Schizosaccharomyces pombe: one gene and its partners. Changing the gene in region 2 together with the main gene of any one other region gives a genetic interaction. Each region holds a gene or a part of one and is shown on either strand. Other genes may lie near its edges.

Region 1 (6,691 bases), 3.2 Mb from region 2:
GCCGAACTGTTTTAGTGATAATAGCTAAATTTAAATTGCTTTAGAAAATCCATAATTGTAATTTTATCATATATACAGTTAGGATGTCATTTTTACACCCTCTTTTGAAAAGTCATTGCTACAATTAAAAGAAAGGTAATACAAGATGGATCTAATTTCTTCCTTATTTAATCAACCTAAAAAATTTCGAGTTAACTGCATGCACTTTATTTAGCTTCTCTTCTCTTAAATAAACACTTTTTATCCTTCTTCCAATCTCTCCTTTCTTGGATATAAGAGTTGTATAATATTTATAAAACAGAGGGGAATTTACTTGCTGTTATTATTTTTTTCCAAGCTTAGATTCTGGTTTTCACTTTTGATACACTTTGTACATGCCTACATCTTACCTAGCTTTTACTTGAACTGGTAAACGAGAGGAATTTTAGGAACGAGTCAGGCGTTATAATTGAATTGCACGATAGTCTTTTCATAAGGCTTTTATTTTACTTGATGCGGCTATAAAATATAAGTTTGTCAAAATTATTTATTTTGTATCAGACGGTTTTCATATATTCAATTTGAAAAGGAAACTGGCGCATAAAAAATACATTATTCTAAATGGATGTAGATTCAATTTTTAAAAATACCGAGGAAACAAATAAGAAAAGGAACCCTGAGGAAGCAGACTCTTTGGAGCCAGCTAGTAGTCGCAGAAGACTCGCTGAAGAGAATAGCGATGAGGAGAATGAAGAATTTGACGAGGAAGGAGGTAGATTTTTTGGAAGTGGGCTTAAAAAGAGTGAAAAAACCGTTTTAGACTTTTTAGACGAACAGGAAGCCCAGGAAGAACCTGCTTCATTGACTCCTACTGAATTGAAGCGCATGGTAGTACGACTTGAAAAAACAATTAATAATAATCAGGAGTTACGCATCAAGTATTCTACTTCTCCTCAAAGGTTTATAGAATCAGAGGCAGATCTTGATCTGGAAATTCGAAGCTTCAATGTGCTTTCAGAGTATCCTATCCTCATACCCATTTTCCTTAAATTAGATTGTGTTTCCACGTTTTTAGAATTAATGAACCATGAAAATGCGGATATTACTATTACGGTATTGGAGCTATTGATAGAACTGACTGACGAGGATGTTGACCCAGACGCATTAAACTCCTTATTTACTTCCCTTATAGATTCTGGTTTGCTTCCTTTGCTTTCAAATACAATCAAAAGGTTTGACGAATCTAATGAGGAAGACCGACATGGAGTATATTGTGTGCTCTCTCTTATGGAGAATTTATTATCTGTGGACAATAGCATTTGTTCAATAATAGTTGAAAACACAACATTGGTAGAATGGTTACTGAGTAGATCGTCTGTTGATGAAACTTCTATATCAACTAATTTGCAGTACGCTGTTGAAATTTTAGCTATCATTCTCGCTAATTCAAAAGAAGCTAAATTGAAAGTGTGCAACTTGAATGGGATTGATCTTTTGTTGCGCCGGATCAGTCCTTATAGGCTTCGTGATCCAACCCAAGGATCAGAAGAAGAAATGATGGAAAACGTGTTTGATTGCTTATGTAGTCTGGTTCAAGAAACGAAAGGAAAATCCCTTTTTCTAAAAGAGGAAGGTATTGAATTATGCATACTAAATATGAAACATAAAGGAAAAAGCCGTTATTCTACAATCAAAGTTTTGGACTATCTTTTATTTGGGCCTCTTTCCACTCCTTATTGTATTCGATTTGTAGAAGCAGGCGGTTTGAAATATATTTTTGCTGCGTTTATGAAAATATCTGCAGCCGATACTCTGGAACATATATTAGCTATTCTGGCATCTTTATTTCGATCTTTACCTGCTGACACCGTAGAAAGGGTGCGCTTTTTACGGAAATTCATTGAAAATGACTTTGAAAAAATGAAACGCCTTTTCAAAATTTACGATCGCTTGAGAATCCAACTCAAAGGTATTGACCAAAGCAGAAAACTTGATTTTAGTCCTGATTCGGAGGAAAAGAGTACCAAATGGTTTCTCCAACAAATTGATCATGGACTGTTTCCTTTCCAATCTACAGTTCTTATCCTTTCGTGGTTATGCGTTGAAAATACAGTGACATTGAAAAAAATTAAGATGCTGTTTTCCGAAGCATCCATTCCAATTGATGAGTTGACTGATGCTCTAAAAAATTATCATGAAAACCTTGAAGAACCGACGGTGGAGTCCGAAGAGGTGGAGGCCAACGACTCTTACTACAGAATTGACGAAAAACCTATGGTTACTGTTTTACTTGGATCTATGCAAGCATCTGTGTAATAAAATCATGACTTGTTCTGATAACATATTTTCAATTTAATGAGTTGTACATTTGTTATTATGGAACATAAAGAGTGTTTGGTATTATAGAATTATATATATTTTTAAACAAAAAAACTAAAAATTAAACACTAGCAGTTCTTGATATGCCAGCATATTTGGAAGGCACAAAAGATATTCGTGTAAAAAATTAAAAGGTGAAATGTATATGTTATAATCAATAAAACTTCGGAATAGACGTTTCGATGATAATAAATGTAAATGATTAATCGGCTAAGTGTGAATACTCAGTTTCACGAAGTTTTTTCTGGAAAAACTTTTCCAATCTATCGGCATTTTTATAGTAAGTCGTGTTGGAGTCATTGTAAGAACGGCAATTATCAAATATATATTTTGCATCCCGAATAAATTCCTCTACAGACTCATACTGGTTGTTACGCAACCGAAATTCCATAGTCGAAAGGTCCATGGGGTGTTCAATAACTTCGTAATAATCGGGTACATCCTCTTTACTAACCGGTTGCATAAAGGGCCAGGAAGACGGATGATTTTGCATTTCTGTAAAAAGCATTTCCAAAACGGCAAAAAAAGGTTTAGGTCTGGGCTTTTTGGAGAGCTCTTCCATTTCCTTGCACCATCCAACTTCCATCAACCCAGGAACTTGAGACGGCTCTATATGAGCTGGACCATCTTTGAATACGTCTAAACCAGGATAAACAACGTTCGACCGAGTGATCCTGTTAATTTTGGAAACAACAGCAGCTTTCTGAATAGCCAAAATCAGATTAGCTTCTAAATACTTTATTTTTGGAATCATGGTGCATTGCATAAGTGTGCCACCTTCGTAATCCTTAATATAGCCAACCCATATAGACTTGTCAAGAGTAATTTCCTTAGTAAATCCTTGTTTTTTAAAATACCCGATTGCATAGTTATCTGCATATGTCAAGAAGTGCTGAATTGTAGTAGTTCCACGGACATAATCCTTTAAATGATTCATTAAATGAGAACCATAACCACGAACCTGTTCATTGGAAGCAATCGCACAAAATACAATTTCGGCAAATCCTCGTTGTTCAAATGGACGATAAGTAATACCGCCCACTACATGTAAATTATCTTTGACAATGGTCATTGAAAGATGGTTTCGATCATAAATTAGCCGCGTAATGTATTCTTTTGGCATTTTAGGAAGTTGTTTCATAAATATGTTTTTTAAACCAGTCAACATGATCATACTGTCGGCGGTGTCGTCGTTAGAAACAACACGAAATTGAATAACGCCGCTTTTTTCTTCTAATACAGATGGCTTTTCAGTAACTCGTACACTACTAATATCAAAATCAACATCTAAATCTGTAGCCACGAGCTTTCTCTTTTTAGAATTTGAAACTCCGTTAGGTACGAAATGAGAGGATGAGCTTTCCGTATCCTTGTTTTCCTTTACAGCTAAAGATTCTTGTCCATCGGAATTAGCAATTGCTTCGCGAACATTTGGATTGGATTGTTCGTCCTGTTTTACCGGTTTATCATGTACACTATCGTTTGACGCATTTGGAAAGTTGGAAGATGTACTGTCTACAACACTTGAATCGGGTGGTCGTGTTTGATCATTTAACGAATTCGACATGATTATTCTATGCCACGCATCCAAACAAATAAATCCAAAAAGTGAAGATACAGAAATTGTCAAGAACGATACAAGATGAAACGAGCACGAAAAAACGGTATATAATAACGAAATACAGAAAATTAAAATAAACGATAATTTGTTAAAATATACACCACGAACCCAGTTATTTGTCTCGAAAATTTTGTTTTTGGCACCAACAATGTGAAAAGACGTCGACCAGCCCTTTACCTTTCTAAAACTTAAGGAAACTCGGCAGGGATTCTCTTAGAAAAAGAACCTCTTTTTATAGAAAGAGTTTGAACACAAGTCAACCGAAAATGACCGTATCAAGGAGAATTTTTTAATCTATAAAAAAAATCTCAGATTTGCGCTCCAAAATACAATCAATTTTTTAATACTTCAAATCAACGATTATCCTAATATTTACTAATTAAAGACACAAATACATGATTTGACTTGGGATGCAAGATTAGAAAATTTCTTCTCTACGAATTTTCTGCTTTCATTTTTTGAAGTTATTGGTGTTGCTTCTAAATATAGAGACGCACCGTAGTTCGTTAGCAATACCTCTTTTTGTGATGATATTCTTTTATGTATTTAGCGATAAAGCTAACGAAAATATTTTCTGTGATATTACACTAACTGTGAGGCTTAGTCTACGTACTAATGGAGTGACTCTGCTAAAACGAATATTTTGGATTTAACTCGAATTATTCATTATAATATCCAACTTCTTTTCTTTTTTTTTAAAGAAGATTTTAAGACTCTTAACGTGAGATGTTCCTCTTCTTGCCGATACCGCTGAATGTTCAAGACATATGGAAAGTCAATAGCAAATATAAGCACGTCTTACTGACATGTCCTGTATGGTATGAAATCAATGAATTAGTGTTAAAACAAGTGGATTGAGTACATTGTTTAAATGGCGAAGTGGAAATGGAACAATTGTAGAAACATTTTGTTTTCAGAAATTACGCACTTGTTTTTTATTAAAATTTGTCATTTAAAAATAGTTTCTAGCAGTCTTCTTGTTTTCCTTCTATTCTTTTCATCAGCACTTTTTGCTAATACTTTCTTTTTAGCCAAAATAAAACTGGTATGAGACACATATAAGTGGTGTAGTTGCATGAAGGCAATTGCTCTTTCTTTGGGTTGTTTTATTAATGTTAACGTAAAACTTTGGTTTTTAGTTCGGGTATATCGTTTGGTTAAATCTTTAGCACTCATCGTTTTGCCTGTTCTCCCGGTTTATACGAGTAAGGTAAGGGAATTCAAGAAAGCATATGTTATGTAGTTGACCCTTTCTACTTATCATTGTTTGGAAACCTGACAGACCTTGTTTGTTATTTTCTAAGCCATTCTTCAATCTTCAATGTTACATGCTTTCCAGGGAAAGTTGGGATTATTTTGCTGTCCAACTAATAAGCACTCACTTGCTAACTCAGAGCAGGTACTTCGTTGTTCTCATTGTGGGTGGTATGAACCAGTAGATTCGGCCATGATTGATCAAAGGCGCAGGCGTGAAGATCTTCCTACTCCCGAAAGACCTGAGGCGAGTGCTCAACAGCATGCATTTTTTCCTGGCTCAAGTTCGCAACAAACCGATATTCCTAACGTTCGTCCTCAACCACATATACCGCCTCCAAGAAAAAGTGATGAGGCACCACCCCCTTACAGCTACAAGTAATGTTCTACCTTAATTCTATTTATTGTTCTACCGTTTCTAATGCTTCCCTGATGAAGCTTTCTAAGCATGTTTGGTAATATTTATTGTGCATACTATATGACTGGATATGATAGATAATAATGGCTAATTTTTTTTTTTGATTAATAGAATACAGAAGAGTTTTAATTCATAAATATTATTCATATAATCTAACTCGTAAGGCACAGCCTTTTTAAATGGTTTCCGGCGAGGAAGGAAGCTAATAAACCAAAGGATAAAAACCTATCTAAAGCATCTCATTAGATCTTTTTAATTGTCCCGATATAATAAACTATTATAGTGAGCGCCAAGCCCAAACAAATGCTGGTAATATGCTATACACAACGGTTTTTCGAACTTGACCGTTGAGGGGTTAAACTTTAAAACTGGACCTTCTGTGTTGTAGACATGAACAGGAACCTCAAGAGAGTTTGCTAATGCCTGTATTTCAATATCACTTCCCCATTTGCTATTGTTTCGAATTTCGTTACAATAATCGGATACTGGCAAAACTTCTCCAGATTCTTCGTCTAGCAAAAAGCCTTCAAACTGTTCGCAGTGCTTTAATACATAATCAGCGGATTTATTACGAAGAGCTTGGCTATTTAGTTTAACATTATGATGATAATTTAACTGATGTGAAATGGAAGCAAATAAACAATTTCCATCCGCTGGTATATCGACTGCAACAAGTCCAGCTTCCTCAAGGATTTTTGAAAACTTTTTTTTCTCTTCATTTTTGAGATCAGCCATTTTTTCTGACTCTAGCTCTGCCTGCTCAGACATTTTTTTCATCTCTGCTTTACGTCGTTCCTAATTAACTTTGTTAGTGATAATTCGTCAAAAGTTAAGCACTTACAAGTCGCTCTTTTTGTCTATTCCTAGACTTTTTAGGCTGTTGCGGTGTATTTTCTTTAGTATTCAATGAGGACTGAACTGATGATTTTTCTGCCGTCGTAATTTTCGTATCTTCCATCTGTTGTAAAAGCGTATTGAGGAGATCTTCTTGCTGCGTTTCATTTGTCTCTTCATCGCCTTTATCCAATTTTTGTCGTTCT
Region 2 (9,681 bases):
TACCTGCCGAAGTCACACCGATTGACTTATATAACCACTTTAAACAGGCTGGTGTAGTAAAAGGGACGGCGGTCAGCCAGTTTCTTGACCAAAGAGGGTTCCGGTATGGCGAAGTGATTATGGATTCAGTTGAATCATGTCAAAATGTAAGCTCAATATGAAGAGAAAACCCCAATATTTGCATAATCTATTTCATGATACTAACCTCATTATTAAGGCAATAGAAAAATTAAATAACGTTCCATACAAAGGAAGCATTTTAGAGGTCAGTATAAAAAATAAAGCCTCTTCTTCAGTGAAGTCAATTCCCACAACGCCGACTGGTGAAAGCTTATGGCCTTTCCCATCGGAAAACGCTAACAAAACTCAAATAAATATCGAAAATGCTACATGTTCGAAGATGACATGGATTATGGGCTCACCAACTAAGGAGAAAAGCCAATGGGGTAGCGTTTCAACTACCGGTGTTTCAAATCAGCAAAATCATCCAGCCGCTTGGAACCCAGATAATAAACCTCAGTCAATCGTGCATTGGGACTCTTTACGTGAAAGCTCTCCAAGTATCCCTAATTCTCCTATTGACCCTTCAAATCTATACGTTAAAAATTTAGATGATACCGTCATCACATGCAAGAGTCAGCTGGAAGATTTATTCTCACCCTTCGGGTCGATTTTGTCTTCCATGTTAGCATGCTATCCAAATTCAGGAATCTCCAAAGGTTATGGTTTCGTAGCGTTTCGTCAAATAGAGGCTGCCGTTAGAGCCAAAGACACATTGAATGGAATGATGGTTGGGAAAAAAAGGATTTTCGTTTGCTTCGCGGAGCGAAAGTCTGACAGAATTCGTAGATTGCAAGCATTTTTTGCAAACAAACCTACTTCAGAACAAACAGCGCAGCAAGACAACAAAGCTTTGTTCGTCAAACCAGAAAGAAGCTCTACTGTTACCATCCGAAAGCCAATAGAGTCTTCTACAAACAAAATCTCTGAGAATCCCACGACCCTTTCAAGTAAGGTTGAAAATAAGAATGAGCCTAAGACTGGTGAAAACAAAGAACCCAGTCAGACAAATGAATATGTTAACTGTAAGCAAGAAAATAAGGAACTTAGTGGACAGTTATCAGGCAACTTGGATATAAAGAAAGAAGCAGGAAAATTGAGCCATGACGGAGAACAAGGAAACTTGTTAAAACCATTGGTATTCCATGCTAACACAAAACTAAATAACCGAGGGTCTGCTAAGATGGGTTCAACAGCCACCAACTTGAAGAAGATACAAGACATGCTTCACAACAAAAAGCTGAGTAATGCATACTTTGTGCCAAGAGCAAGAGCAACAACCTGTACAACTCTTACGTACGTAACAGTTGAGCCCTCACATTTCCAAGATGAGGACTGTAATGAGTCAACGAACATGCTTTCACTTGTCGGGTACATGGACAGCTATCCAGAAGCTACATCCAATATCCAAAAAATGAATTCCTATCATATTAAAGATTCAAATAAGGAAAATTTTTTATCAACAACAAAGGTTAACAACAATTCACCAACAACTATTCAGTTGACGCAGATTTAACAAGATGCGGTGAAGATATAACTATGAAACAAAATTCATAATGCTATATCCCTCAAAACTCCGATGAACAAACTTTTAACTCCTTAAAATATATACATCGTGAACGGATGGATTTGCTAGTATAACCCTACAGTATCTTACAACTACCACAACGTGGAATTTAAACGAAACCGTTTATTTTTAGTCTTTAATCAAAAACATTATAAGGAAATTTGATTTGAAAGATAATTCTTTATTAATTCGAAAGTTGACAGCTGGATCAGATTTGTTTAGAGATTTATGATTTTAGCAGGTTCATTGACTGACATCCAGTAGCTTGGTGACAGTTTGACGAACCAGATTAAAAACCATGAGTTCATTAATAGCGTTAGGTAAACGGCAAACATTATTGTCACATAATGAATTTTTAAATTTTAAAAATCAAAAGGGTTTCTGCAAAAGGTTTATTTCTCAACTAAACAAGAAATCCAATTTTCCCGCTCTTGCGATGACAGTTCCTGAAGCCACAAAATATCTCAAATCTGTGAGCATTTCTGTTCCATATGTTGGGTCTTATATGCTTTCAATTGCTTTAAAAAGTAATCGACGCGCTCCGTCAGCTCGTGGTCAAATTGCCTTTCCTCATCCATTTCAAGAGCCTCCTAAAATTTGTGTGTTTGCTAAAGGTGCAGCTGCAGATGAAGCTTTAAAATTGGGTGCAACCTATGTTGGTGCAGAAGACTTAGTAAAAAAAATTCAAACAGAGCCCCTTGAATTTTCAAAGTGCTTTGCTCATCCCAACTCGGCAGAATTACTACCACAAGTTGCTAAATTATTAGGATCAAAACGTCTTATGCCTTCAATAAAACGAGGTACTATATCAGATGAATTGAAGCCACTCATTGAATCTGCCCTCACAGCTGTTGACTATCGGCAAAATGATGCAGGCTCGATAAATTTGCCGGTTGGAAAACTAGGGTTCAGCGACAAGGAGCTACAAGAAAACATCGAAGCACTTGTATCAAATGTTCGGTTTACTTTGGCCAAACTGCCTGGAAAAGTTAAAGTTACCGTAAAGCATGTTCATCTTTCCGCCTCACATGCTATTGCAATTCCTCTCCAGTATAAATAATGATTAAAATGTTATTGCATGGGAAATTTAGTCTACAGTCTTGTCATTTGTAATATGTATTACATGATTAATTTTGTACAAATTAGTGAAATGTGTAATGATATTTTATCTAGTAAATTTAGAAGCCTGTTTATATTTATTTATTATCATAAACTACTTTTTAAAAAGTATGAATGAAACGTTAGAATACAACATTATGAAAGTTACTCTGTGCGATGCCATTTCAGAACAGGCGATTCCGGAGAATCAAATCTGTTATCACAAGCTGAGGTATCTACGTTTTCAGCCGTAACCCACTGGTGATTTGGATCAAAAAATAAGGACATAGGGTTTCCCATACTCGCGTTTTCAACATCATTATCTGAGGAAAAAGTGTCCGGATGTAGAGATTGGCAAGTACAAAGAGCCTGGTAACATGAATCAACATCAGTAACATATAATGTTAGTTCTAAAAAATCATCTGTGAATTCATTTTCATCTTCGGTAGAAGGAGCTTCATGCAATGTTCCTGACGACCGTTCAAATTTAAGAATGTGATCTAGCAAGGGTCGAATGGCTTCACCCTCTAATTGAACATATACATATGGCTTATCCTTGCTTTGTTTCGCATGAAGAGTAATGGTTTCATATGGAATTTTCCAGCCAGAATTCTGTTCTTCATCAAAAAGGATAAAGCTCTGTGAAGTTACTAATAAAGTTATCAATTTGCCCAAAGGAAAACTTTCCTCATCACTTCTAATTTTATAGGGGACTGTTTTTTCTTCAAAATAAACGATTTCTTGATTTGGCAACAACTTTTCACCATTTTCAACTTTGCGAATTAGGTCCTTTGGAAGTGAGTCAATTTTGGTAATCATAATTACTTCTTGCTTCCAATAGGTATTTAAGCATAAAAATTATTAAAAAACAGTAATAAGGCCACCTCTACCTGATAATTTATTGAAAGAAAAGGTTTACTGTGCGTTGTATTCTTTTGAAGTACTCAAATACAATATCTTCGCATATTAAGCATTTCGCAAAATCGAAAATATATTTCTACTCTTAACCACACGAATTTTTTATAAATTGAACCATTATGCCAAACAGGATATCGATTTTACTCAAATACTTTTGATATGCAATTTTCGTAAATGACAAGCTAGTTATTCATTGCAATTACAAAACAAACTCATGAATATAAATAGTTTTGTGGAAAAAATAAAGGAAAGGTCTAAGGTCTTTATGAAGTAATCCTCGTTACCCAAAAAATTGGGACTCAAAACTTTTGAAATTGGATTTTTTATTTTATATAGTAAACAGATTTATAAGTGTAGCGAAATAAAGCTAAGAATTTTTTAGCAACCAATTCATTGCTATATAAGGTTATACATTGATTTGGATACATGTAATGAATTAGCATCAGTGGATCGTTTCTCTCATAAAGGTGGGTCTTTCTAAAGTATACGAGATTGACTTTCAAACACCAACTTTCCAAATCAAACTTCGAAAGACTTTTTTAAAGCTAGTGACAAGGTTGGAGCAGAAGATTCTCCAAGCCAGTTTTTAGTTAATTAATAGAATGAAAACAAATCGAAAAGTTCAAAAATCAAAATTAGCAAGGCAAGATTCTGGTCATCAGTATATAATTAAATGATGGCAGTATGTGGATGCAAATCCTCCAAGATAATTTTTTAGTGAACAATTTAATCAATAAATTTTCAAAGTAAGATACCATAACATGCATGCAGGGTTTTCTTCAAATATTTTTTAGGACAAAAGTATACTTTAATTTACGCATTGAATTTAAGAATCACTTGTTGCGTAAACTGGAATCGTGGTTGACACTACTTGGCAGCTGTAAATACAGCAAATCGAGTTTGTCAAGTATAGATTTTGTGGCATTCTCCATTGAGTTAGAACTGTTTTCAGGAGATGCAACTTTCATGATATTTCCATGTTGTTTGTACACTTTAGAGGTTGTAAATAAAGAGGGAGTAGCCATTAAACCTTTTTCATCAAATGACAAAGTATAAAGCCAAACAAGACTTTGAAACCAATTATTCATAGGGACACTCCAAATAAAGTAGCGAAAATTGGGAACTCGAGGATGTACATCATTTAGCACAGAGTTAGCTAATAGTTTAACAGCTTCGTCAGTAGTTGATAATTCTTCATTCATTTTCTTGTATACAGGTAGAGAAAACTGAGATATAATGGCTAGAATAGAATCCAATTCAAGTCTTGAATGCCAAGAATTAAACCACGAGTTGGAAGGTGCAAACAAATTTGAGTCAATTTCTAAATCTTTTCCAAACGGATTGGATGCACATTTTTTAATAAGTTCTGAACTAGAAACATTTTCCGGTATTTTCCCACGCAACTTTCTAGACAGAACCAATGGAGAATCTGAGAATACATCTTGAAGGACTGTCGGGACAGAAATCGAAACATTTCTACTCGAAATATGTGATAAGCCACCGCGTGAACTACTGCTACTAAAAGGGGAGGAAAATTTATCTAATTCATCGAAAGGTGAATCATCTTCAACGGTAGCAACTTTTTTAAAGTCAGTATTTTGGAGTGGTGTTCCATCTAAGGAGGTGTTATCGGATGATTTAGATTCAAAATCACTACTTCCTTCCGAATTGAGGGCCACTAAAGGCTGTGATTTAGTCTGAGCAACGGCAGGAAGTTTCATAGAATTAAGATTCAAAAAAACTTGCTGGAGGCGAATAATAGAATAACTGAGATTAGGGTTTTGAGAAAACTTGTTTTCAACTATACTAGAAATAGCCTGTAACAGGTATTCAAGAAGCAGATGATTGCGCGGATTACGAAAAAGAAACCGAGGAGATGAAAGAGATGAACAGAGTTGCATTAATTTGGCACACGTAACGAAACTTAGGTTTTCAACAAATGGTGCAATATTGCATATGGTCAACAATATAACAGGAGATAAACTGCTAAACGGAGATCTCTTCACTGCTGAAATATGAAAGCTAGACTGGAAGGCGTAAGTAATAAAATTAAAATAAACAATTAATCGTGAATCTTACGATAATCAAAAACTCTGCATAAGACATTGGTGGGACTGAGAACCCAAGGGAAGACATCAATGATTGTGCATTCATACAGTTTCTATTTAGTTTTTCACAAAGAACCTTCTCGCATGATAAATAATGAACGATAAAAAGGCAAATGCGAACAAGGCCGGAATGTTCATTGTCTTCACGATATCTAAGTGCATAAAACTGAATAGAAGTTAAAAACTCCGTAGCATAAGGAGAAGTGATCAAAAATGCTCGGAAACGCTGTTTTAAATTAGTTAGCAAATATAATGAACGCGTAACAACATAAATTAAACAACTGTACAAATAATGTAATATATATAAAAGGACCGTTGAACATACTTTATTATATAAAATTGCTTGCCAAAGAAACAAAATAATTTCCGGAAACGCGATATTAGGCTTTTGTACAATTGAAATATAGGCAGAGATAGCGGAAACTGGTGCATTCAATAGCCGATATAGTTCGTTAACTAAAAATTCATAATCAGCTTGTAATTGAAGTCGAGAAAAATATAATCTATACTGATTTTCGATAGCAGCGCCAGGAGAAAGATTGAGTCTCTGTCTGAAGTATTCGACTGTTGTTTCATGAGGGGTGTGATCTAAAAAAAGCAAAAGGATTTGAGAAGTAAGTTTTGAGAGTGCAATGCTAGAATCATTATAAGGTACTAGAGTTGAATACGAAGCCTTCCAGCTATCAGGTCTAAGTCGCAAAGTCTAAAAACTAAGTTAGTTGTACAACAAAAAAAGGTAAATTTTAAGCCAAAACTTACAGTATTTATAAGGGAATAAAGAAAAACTAGTATAAGCTGCTTATTTGCTACACAGGTCAAATAAGTAAGGGTGTGAGAAGCTACTTCAGAAGATCGATACAGCCTTTTAGAAATCAATACTAACAGCAAACGAAGAACCTCAATGCGATTAAACGCAAGTTCCTTTGTGGTTTTCTCTTGGGTTTCTGTTGTACCAATTCCATTTTCCCTGCAAAAGTGATTAGTTAACACATTGCATTTAACCAAATATAAAAAAGCAAACGAAAAACAAAAAAAAAATATATATATATATACATATATACTTACCATATAATGTATGCATATTGCTCAGGACTTGAAAGAGGAAGCGTAAAGCCTCTGCAAAAAAGCAAACGAAAGACGGTGTCCAGCAATTCCTCCATTAAAGTTTTTTCATGAGTAAAAGTTTCTTCAATAGAGCCAATTTCTTTGATTGTGCTAGAACCACCTACTGATACGTCAGCGGCAGAGACGTCTGAAGAAGCATCAAGGGAGATGGAAGAAGCAGGAAAGGTGCTCACAGGAGATAATGGGACTGAAGGAGACTTCTGCGAGAATTCGTTCTTTTGGGAGATGGAATTTTCAAAATCTAGATCGTCTTGAAAATTACTAAGGTCTAATTCGGAATTTTCCTTTGGTAAATTTCTCTTCTTTCTAAGGCTCCACCAAAACTTTTGATGCCATTCTTCTAAATCGAGTTTCTCATTCAAAAAAGGAATGATTCTAGTAAGTAGGCGAATGCAGTTTAACGCTTCACTCGCTGGTGCCGTTTCAGGATTTGGAAACTTTTTGTCATTTTTCAACGCAAACAAACGAGATGTCAATACAAGCAGCAATTTTTCAAGGTTTACAAAGGCATGATCCCTCATCTCACGAATGAGACCTGGGGGAAAAAAATCGTAAACTTCTGGACAACTTTCAGGTACACTCCAAAGCTAATAAACATAAAAACGAATACATTAGTAAAAGCGTCTTACACAAGTTAATAAAAAAAATTTCATACAGAAACCCAAACTTCATCATCCAACGGTATATCCTACTAGAATTAGCTTGCAATGTTCTCTTAGCGTATCATCCACCCATAAACACAAACCGTACCGGTTGAGAAGCTAATCTTGCAATTCCTCGCTGAAATGCCAATCTAAACAGTTAGCTCATACGAAAATTTCGCAATGTTACTTACTTTGACTCTTGGCCTCCCATATTCTCTAATTAGATGCGAAAACCGTAAAGTGCTCTTGACAAACGCTGCAGCTTCATCGATAATCGTTAGGTACTAGTAGACCCGTCCATGTGTATACTTTATTCGCGCGCTAAGTTTCCAAAAGATGCATTATTTCATATTGCGAAATTTTATTATTGCTCGAGTTAATTTGTTAGCTCTACCGTACATTTAATGATCGTTAGCATTACGACGAATTTTCACATTTACAGTCAATGCACTATGACTCACTATTTGGTAAACACTTTTTAGCAAACTGCAATTTGTTAGGAGGCAGGGTAAGGAAAACAATTGATTACCATCACGAAATGAGAATTAAGGAAGAAATACAGCTTGTCAAAGAGACTTCAGCTACCTGCTGAACTGCATTTAAATGTTTGTGAGTTTTTGGTTTCTACTCGTTATCTCATAATTACCGTGCCATCAGATAAACCTCAAAGGTTTCTCAGTTATAAAAAAAACAAGGAAACTGTATAGCTGTAAACAATTCATCTACTGTATAACTCACGCGGCAAAACCACATGAGACATCTGTCGAAGCAAACAATGATATATTTACATGTTCAGTAGATGAATCGCTAGACTATGCCGTGATATGTTAGAGTTCCTTATATTATATACAATGAAGTACATTATAAATGGCTGTATTCAAATTTTAGCTATTTCTGTAAAATAAACAAAGCAGCTATCTATTTTGAAGTGAGATTTTTTTCCAATTTATAATAATTTCAATTATAAAAGGTGCTCTTTTTCTACTCTCAATGTACTTGAAATGTCATATATGTATTTGATATCGTCAAAATTGTCAATAGCAAGATAACTAAATAAATGAGATGATAAAGATCTTATTAATTAACTTGGTAGATGATTTTTCCTACTTTTTCCTTTAATCCTATAGCTGATTAACAGGTAATTATTAACAAAAAAATGACTTTTCTTCCATTCTTCTGATTGTTTCAACTCCACTCTGTTATTATGTATCTATTCTCTTTTCTTATCGGTATACCGATTTACGTTAGAAAATGGTAAACAGTATAACGAGAAACCCTCGGTTTCGGTTCATATCTGTATAAAATTAGCAGATTAGCGAAAAATGCTGGAAAGAAAATTAATCAAGGTCAGACATGAACTTGAATTCCTTATCTATAATCTAATTTGTACTTAAATAGAATCCTTTTTTTTCGGTCAACTTCGTACTGCGTTCGAATTTTTCTGGTTTGGATTTTTAGTGTTTTGCAAACATACCTTTACCATACACTAATACCCTAAAAATCACTTCGACACCAACTTACCACGAACCAAGTTCGACAATTTTCACCACCGGTTTTGGGAAAATGTCAGTTAGTGTTGCATTAAAAGCAAAGCCCATTGCTTATGGTGCAGTTGCATGTGCAAATTATGTGAATCTGTCTGGTGCAGGAAGCATTTCCGTCAAGTATGAGGACGTTGCTTTATTAGACAAACAAAACAAGGAATCGAACGTCTCCATTCAGCTTAACGGCTCTGATTCTCCTGTATTCGGTTCCAAGTTGGCTTTACAGACTTTCTCTCAAGTCTATCCTAAACTTTTCATTGGCGAAAACGATCGTTCTTTGGTTGAGAGTTGGGTGGAAACTGCCTCTGCCTTAGCTGGTAACCACAACTTTCTTGAGCTTTCTTCACTTCTTGCTCAGTTAGACGACCATTTAATTATGCGCTCTCTTTTTGTGGGTTATTCCCTCACCTCTGCTGATTTTTCTATTTGGGGTGCCTTAAAATCAAACAACATGGCAGCTGGTGCCGTACGCACTGGCCAGTATTTCAACCTTGCTCGTTGGTACAAGTTTATGGATTCTCAAAATGCCGTGAGTGTCACCATGGAAGAATTCACCAAGGCAGTTAATATTAGCAAAAAACAAAAATCTTCTGGTCCTAACTACGAGATCGGTCTTC
Region 3 (6,687 bases), on a different chromosome or scaffold from region 2:
TGGGCTTGCTGGTTGTTTATTATATCCCGGTTAAAAATTTTTTTAAGGGCTTTTTTCGCCTGTTACTGGTATTGCTACACTAATTGATTATTTGTACTAGTTTATGATTTATATTTTCACAAAGATACATTAATATGGTGAAAAGACGCACTGCTGCTGTTTTACCTAACAATCTTCCTCATCTACAACATCTGGTCAAAAAGGATCCAAAATCCTACAGAGAAGAATTTTTGCAGCAATGGAATCACTATGAAACCGCGCGCGAAATTTTTCTTGTTAATCCATCTTCAGACATTTCCGAATTTTGTTCATTAATCGATTTCATTTCCCAAACTTGTAATTATTATCATGATGTTACTGCCGACTTTCCTAGCGAATTAATTGAGCTATTACAAAAAAACCACACAATATTCCCTTTCGAACTTTGTGAAAAAATCGTTTTATGCCTTGTTCTGTTAAAAAATAAAACAGTAATATCTCCTATTACATTACTACAATGTTTTTTCCCGCTTTTCCGTGAAAATCCTACTCGTGGTGTTCGCGAACTTTTGTATCAACAGGTATCTCTCACCATTCGGAATGCCAATAAACAAGCCAAAAATGATAAGTTGAATAAAGCTGTTCAGTCTGCTCTGTTTACTTTGGTTGACGGTTCGGGTAGTGGTTCAGCAACACATACTGATTATTCTGGACAAAAGCGAGAATATTCAGCAAGTGAATTATCAGGTGTTTGGGCTGTCAAAATGGTTCGTGATTTATGGAAAAGGAATGTTTGGTCCGGTGATGCACGTGCCGTAAACATCATGAAATCTGCCGCACTATCATCAAACCCCAAAGTTATGCTTGCAGGGATTTACTTTTTCTTAGGTGCTGACAATCAAGAAGAGGAGGAGGAATCTGATGATGAGGGTCCAGATGTTTCCAAGCTTTTGCATCAAGCTAATGTAAATAAAAAGACAAAATCCCGTGAGGCTGCTTTGCTTCGTGCTCGCGCAGTTGTAAAGAAGAAAGAGCGAGGAAAACAAAACGTCCCCACAAACGTTAACTTTCCGGCTTTACAGCTTCTTCATGACCCTCAAGGATTTGCCGAAGAACTTTTTGAAAAGCACTTGGCTAGCTCAAAAAGCCGTCTGTCAATGGATCAAAAACTGGTGGTCCTTCGACTCCTTACCAGATTGGTAGGTTCTCACAAACTTACAGTCCTAGGTCTTTATTCTTTTTTAATGAAATATTTGACACCCCACCAGAGAGACGTTACTCAGTTTTTAGCATGTCTCGCTCAAGCTTCCCATGAATTCGTACCTCCAGATGCGCTTGAACCGTTAGTTAGAAAAATTGCCGACGAATTCGTTACTTCAGGTGTCGCCAATGAGGTTGTTTGTGCTGGTATTAATGCTATTCGTGAAGTTTGTGCTCGTGCGCCTTTGGCAATGACTCCCGACCTTCTTCAGGATCTAACTGAGTACAAATCTAGTAAGGATAAAGGTGTTATGATGGCTAGTCGTAGTCTCATCACTCTGTATCGTGAAGTTGCTCCCGACATGTTGAAAAGAAAGGATCGTGGTAAGCTTGCTTCTATTGAGATGAAAGATCGTACACCTTTGAAGTATGGTGAGGAGTTAAACGTCACCCACGGAATCCAAGGATTGGAACTTTTAGCTCAGTATAAAGCTGAACACGGAGAAGAAGGAGAAAATGGAGACGATTGGGATAATTGGGAAGTTTCAGAAGATGGACAGAATTCTGATGATAGTGGTGGCTGGATCGATGTCGATAGTGATGACAATATTGAATTAAGTGACAGCGATGAAGAGGAAGAGAAGGCCACTGCAAGAAAAGAATCAGATGAGAAAGGATCTTCTTCACAAAAGGAACTAGTTGATAGAATGACCGAGCTTGCGTCTCAATCTATTTTGACACCTAATGACTTGAAAAAGTTGGAAGAGCTTAGGGAGCAAGCGGGTGTTGATCGTCTCGTCAATGGACCTAAGCGTTCTTTAAAGAGGCCAGACGATGCCGTTGAGGCTGATGAAATTGAAGGTCCTAGAAAAAAGGCTAAGAACGACCGAGAAGCCCGTATTGCTAGTGTCATGGAAGGACGTGAAGGACGTGATAAATTTTCATCTAAAAAGGCAGGTTTTAACCCAACAAGTCTTTCTAACAAAAGAAAACAACGTAACAAGAACTTTATGATGATTAAGCATAAATTAAAAGGTAAAGCTGGACGAAGTCTTGTTCAAAAGCAAAAAGTTTTACGAGAACACGTAGCTCGTGAAAAAAGGAAAATAAAGTAAGATATTGATTACTATATTCGGTTTATGCTTTTCCTTTTGGGGCATCTTATATAGGTATATTTAATTAGGTTTTGGGTTTACATGATTGAGGGATAACCTATGGTAAAGGTGGATACTGGAAGTGAATTTAATAATATAAATTACTATCATTATTAAAGATAAACATATAAATCTCGTAGCGTCATCATAAAAAGTGTAAATCCTTAACTCACAGAAAATGCGTTATAGAATAAACAGTATCAAACCACATAAACTTTACGAAGAAGTTGGAATGGAAACTCTTTGCCAGAATAAGGGTCTCTAAGAAATCCTTCTCTAGTCCCATTAGCTTCGTTCCAACTTATGAGGCTCTGGATACCATAAACTCGACCGTTCGGGAAAGCAACAGGACAATTGTCGCTGTCAAGTCCTTCGCCTGTCAGAGAATCCACTATCGCAGACTGAGTAATATGGGCATAAGGAAGAGCTTTGCCAAGGTCATTTAAGCAGGGCGTACATACAGGGCATTGTTTCACAGTCTGGGATTGTAATGCTAAAGGATTATCATCATTCGCGTCAAGATAACACAACGGGGTTTTCAGGGAAGATAGACCAGCAGCTAACAATGCATGTAAAAGAGGTACAGACGGTATATTATGAACGGCAGTAAAATTGCTGGTAAACAAGGAAGCCAAATATTCCCATCGGTCATCGGATAGAAGCAACTAATTTGTCAGTATAAGCTAAGAGCAGAGGTCTCTCAATGTAAACTTACCGAATATGGTGAACCATTCGTAAATTCAGGAAAAGCTAGTAGGGCAGCCGCTAGCTGTAGTCGAGCAGGATGTTCATTTGCCCAAGTACCGAAGTGCGCTTTGGCGAATGCAATGGCTTGGCAAAGTTTTTTACTTTTTATTAATTCTATAAATCTCTGTAGTCGGACCTCAAGCTCTAATGTACTATTATTTTTTTTTAAAATTGCTCGATGCTCCGAACACCAAGACAAAACCTCTTTGAGCTCCTGTTGAAGAATGGAATCGTGAATGAGCTGATAACGCTTATATATGCCTAAATCAACCAAATTCTCCAACTGAGAGTCTTTACAAAGTAGAGCAGCTGCCCCATGGTACCCATTCGCCATCATATAATCAGCAACTAAACGATTCAGTCTGACTCTTGACCAATCTAAAAAATCCGCAGATTCCATGTCACGAATTCCTTGAAGACGATTCATGAACAACAGTCGTGACTTAGTTTGCTTGATAAACAGAGCTTCACAATCATGCAAATGCTTCATCTACACAAAGAACCATGTAAGTTACAAATATCCAACTCAAAAAAAGAATCAATCAAACTTACCTTCTTCTTTACAGTACTGACTCTTGAAAGGAGAGAATCTATTTTTTCTATTTTTTCATCCATTGATGCATTCTCTTGACTGATCAACGTTGTCAATGTGGAATTGATCACATGCGATTCATGCTCCAAGTGCCGCAAAATGTGTTTGAAGTTAATGCGCAATTGCTCAAAAGAGAGAAGAATACCAGGCTTTTCAAGTATATATTGCTGCTCTGGACGAAAATTCATGTTTGAAGGCAAAGTCTAACAAACTATTGGTAGATGGACCCAAAAATTTAAATCAACTAAAGAATATTGAATATTTTAAGAATAAGAAAGTAATTAGAAGAATTTGTTTAAATGTAAGGAAAACAGCAATTGCAGAAAGACGATGGGTTGTTGGCGAAAGATACACTTTCTAGGACCGTAGTGCAAGATGAATGAAAAATAAGGAGAGCTAAAAAACAATAAAAAAAGAGGTGCATATATTAATTTATGTCAGGAAAATCTGCAATTGGTATGGAAATCTCCTTTTTGGAATGCCCCGGGTTAATTTTTACCAGTCGACATTTTCGTGCCAAGTACCAATTTTCAAATGTCGCTGGAAAAGTCCTTGGACGAAATTATAAATGAAAGAACGGTAAATTTTTTTATTTTCGATATTTGTTTTAACAATCCTAGAATGGTTTTGATCACAAGCACAGTCGGCGAAGGGGATCTCAAAATCGTATTTCCAAAAAATCGCGATTGGTATGCTAATTTCGAGGATTAAGTGTTTATTTACTAATTTTTTACTTTTTAAGACCTACAAATTCAAAAGAGCATCAAAAGAACACAACTCTAGTCCAGACGATGGCCCGTGGCAGCATGACTTGGATCAAGAGCAGGATGCTCATCCAAGGACCACTCACCTACAGAAAAGACAACAGTATGTTTTGAATTTATAAGATAAGCTGTAAACTTTTTTATTACTCTATTAGCTCTTAGTCTACATGCACTGTTATTATCATTATATACTAACACAGCAATCTTAGCTCAGAAAATCGATTTGGGGTTCGTGTGGAAAACTTACATTATCAGGTTTTGGAAAAAGATGTTTTGGTAAGTGATATATGTTTACTATGTTTTCAAAAGCCTCGCTTTTAGTTTTCGATTGAAGATTATGAAACGAACCTGACAAAAAATCTCCCTGTCAAGCTAAGTAGAGCTTTGTTCCGATTTCGAATCGCTTTTTTTATTAATAAACTAACCTTTTCTTAAGTCTTTGTTTGAAAATTTCCATCCAATTCGCGTGATTATGAACTATGATCGTGCAGGTCGCTCTGAAGGCTCCTGCGATGTTTACTTTGAAACTTCCCAAGATGCTGAAGATGCCCAGAAGACGCTTCAATCTACGAACTTGAAGGGCTCCGAAATTCAAATTTCGAAAAAGTCTCCACCTTCCTTATTCGATCGGATTTCCGACATGCCACATTCAGCCCGCAAACCAAGCCGGTCTTCTCGTTCGAACCGAGGATTCAACCGTTCTTCAAAAAAAGACGACAGATCATTTCGTTCTTCTTCAAAAAAGTCTTCTAATAATTCAATTTCACACGAAGATTTAGACAAAGAACTTGACGAATACGCAATGTCATTTCACGCTGCTTCAACTGTGTCATCTCACTCATCACAGGATTTCACACCGTCAATAGCCAATGCTCATGAGAAAAACGAGCCTGTTGCTCCTTCAAAAGATAGTAATTTGACCGAGGAGATGGACCTCCAAATGGAAGCGGTTTAAGCTCGAATTGCTGTGCAAGTAACCCTTTTCCTATGCCAAAAGTTGATTATTGAGTCAATTGCTTTGATTTGTACATTATAAAAACGAACCGGCTAAAAGGACATCTTTCATCATAACCCCTTACTTTATATATAGATGCTCGTCAATTTCCATCGTCTTCCTTCTTCTACCACAATCGTACGAATCGTACCAAAAATTAAAATTTGCAGCAGACAGATTCATATTACCTTGCAAGGCCAAAAATTTATTAATTTTATTTTTTTTATTTATGTTTATAAGTGCTTGTTAACGAAAGAGATATTTTGTTTTTGTTTCTGGCATTATTCCATTCTATTCCTACTACAGTGATCATAGCAATTAACAATACATCATCACTGTGCTCTTGTAATTTGATTGAATCGTTTTTGACACAATCTTTCATTCTTTAAAATAAAATAAATTTATATATTTCTACATTACATTCTTATTTGTTAGGTAGAAATGGGATTGGGATTTTCTTCGAAAAAGCAATTACCTGCCTACTGTGGTCCCTTGCCTGTGGGGTCTTTAGTCTTAGAGCTGAGTGTTCCAGAGGAATTTCGATGTGAATATAAAACCATTGAACACAAACTAAGAACCGTAAAAGTACGCATTTTTTATCCATTGGACCCAACAAAAGATGTAGAGCCTCGCACCGATGAGCTTTGGTTACCATTCCATGAGGGTATACCCGAAGTTGCGAAAGGTTTTCGTTGGTGGCTTCTTCGTGCGTTCGCTTCTGGTTTGACCAACTTAGCTTTGCCCGTCTACAAAGGAGAGTTGTTTCATCCACCGAACAATGGGAAACTGCCAGTATTTATCTTCAGCCATGGATTGGTTGGCTCGAGAAATGTGTATTCTTCGTTATGTGGTACAATCGCTTCCTATGGTATCGTCGTCTTGGCCATGGAGCATAGAGATAACTCGGCCATCATATCTACAGTGCGTGATCCATTACATCCTGAAGAACCCCCGTACGTTGTTCAGTATCGCGAGATAAGCGACTTTTATGCAGACGCTACGGTTGTGCTTCAGAATGAACGACTTTTATTTCGACAGCAGGAAATCCAAATAGCCCTCCAGATGATTCGAAATATCAATGACCTTGGAACTCCGGACGAAAACTTACCCTTTCTTTGCTCTGTGGACTCTTCTTTTTATAATTCTGTTTTCCAATCCATGAAGGGTAATTTGAATACCGCTCAAGGAGAATTGATTGTTGCTGGTCATTCTTTTGGTGCCGCTACTTGCGCATTCATTTCCGGTTCTTCTACCAAG

Evidence for each region.
Region 1: mutations in ftp105 (region 2) and gcn5 together harm fitness more than expected from each alone (negative genetic interaction), as found in Schizosaccharomyces pombe (2 studies listed by BioGRID).
Region 3: mutations in ftp105 (region 2) and gid9 together harm fitness more than expected from each alone (negative genetic interaction), as found in Schizosaccharomyces pombe (2 studies listed by BioGRID).

Annotation. Positions count from the first base shown.
Region 1 is NC_003424.3:4,971,350-4,978,040, reverse strand, and holds gcn5 (SAGA complex histone acetyltransferase catalytic subunit Gcn5), read right to left. Parts: upstream 4,418-6,691; 5' UTR 3,926-4,417; coding exon 2,561-3,925; 3' UTR 2,343-2,560; downstream 1-2,342. Other genes in the region: SPOM_SPAC1952.06C (uncharacterized protein), read left to right, coding at 601-2,295; SPOM_SPAC1952.04C (uncharacterized protein), read left to right, coding at 4,706-4,797, 5,011-5,024, 5,119-5,189, 5,379-5,615; OUT family ubiquitin-specific cysteine protease Otu2, read right to left, coding at 5,904-6,446, 6,493-6,691.
Region 2 is NC_003424.3:1,784,488-1,794,168, reverse strand, and holds ftp105 (Ubp5 interacting protein Ftp10), read right to left. Parts: upstream 7,800-9,681; 5' UTR 7,732-7,799; coding exon 7,712-7,731; exon of another isoform or gene 7,670-7,711; coding exon 7,627-7,669; exon of another isoform or gene 7,565-7,626; coding exon 7,532-7,564; exon of another isoform or gene 7,464-7,531; coding exon 6,817-7,463; intron 6,719-6,816; coding exon 6,511-6,718; intron 6,455-6,510; coding exon 6,077-6,454; intron 5,978-6,076; coding exon 5,723-5,977; exon of another isoform or gene 5,671-5,722; coding exon 4,477-5,670; 3' UTR 3,814-4,476; downstream 1-3,813. Other genes in the region: poly(A)-binding protein Crp79, read left to right, coding at 1-146, 218-1,576; mrpl1 (mitochondrial 54S ribosomal protein uL1m), read left to right, coding at 1,926-2,687; protein saf5, read right to left, coding at 2,891-3,544; gus1 (glutamate-tRNA ligase), read left to right, coding at 9,084-9,681. UniProt on the Schizosaccharomyces pombe protein: Required for the localization of ubp5 to the Golgi apparatus. Involved in detoxification of cadmium ion.
Region 3 is NC_003423.3:399,869-406,555, reverse strand, and holds gid9 (ubiquitin ligase complex subunit), read right to left. Parts: upstream 4,023-6,687; 5' UTR 3,861-4,022; coding exon 3,633-3,860; exon of another isoform or gene 3,571-3,632; coding exon 3,049-3,570; exon of another isoform or gene 2,999-3,048; coding exon 2,534-2,998; 3' UTR 2,343-2,533; downstream 1-2,342. Other genes in the region: SDA1 family protein, read left to right, coding at 135-2,294; tho4 (THO complex subunit), read left to right, coding at 4,207-4,251, 4,293-4,361, 4,415-4,539, 4,646-4,712, 4,873-5,391; plg7 (1-alkyl-2-acetylglycerophosphocholine esterase), read left to right, coding at 5,872-6,687. UniProt on the Schizosaccharomyces pombe protein: Component of the GID E3 ligase complex recruiting N termini and catalyzing ubiquitination of proteins targeted for degradation.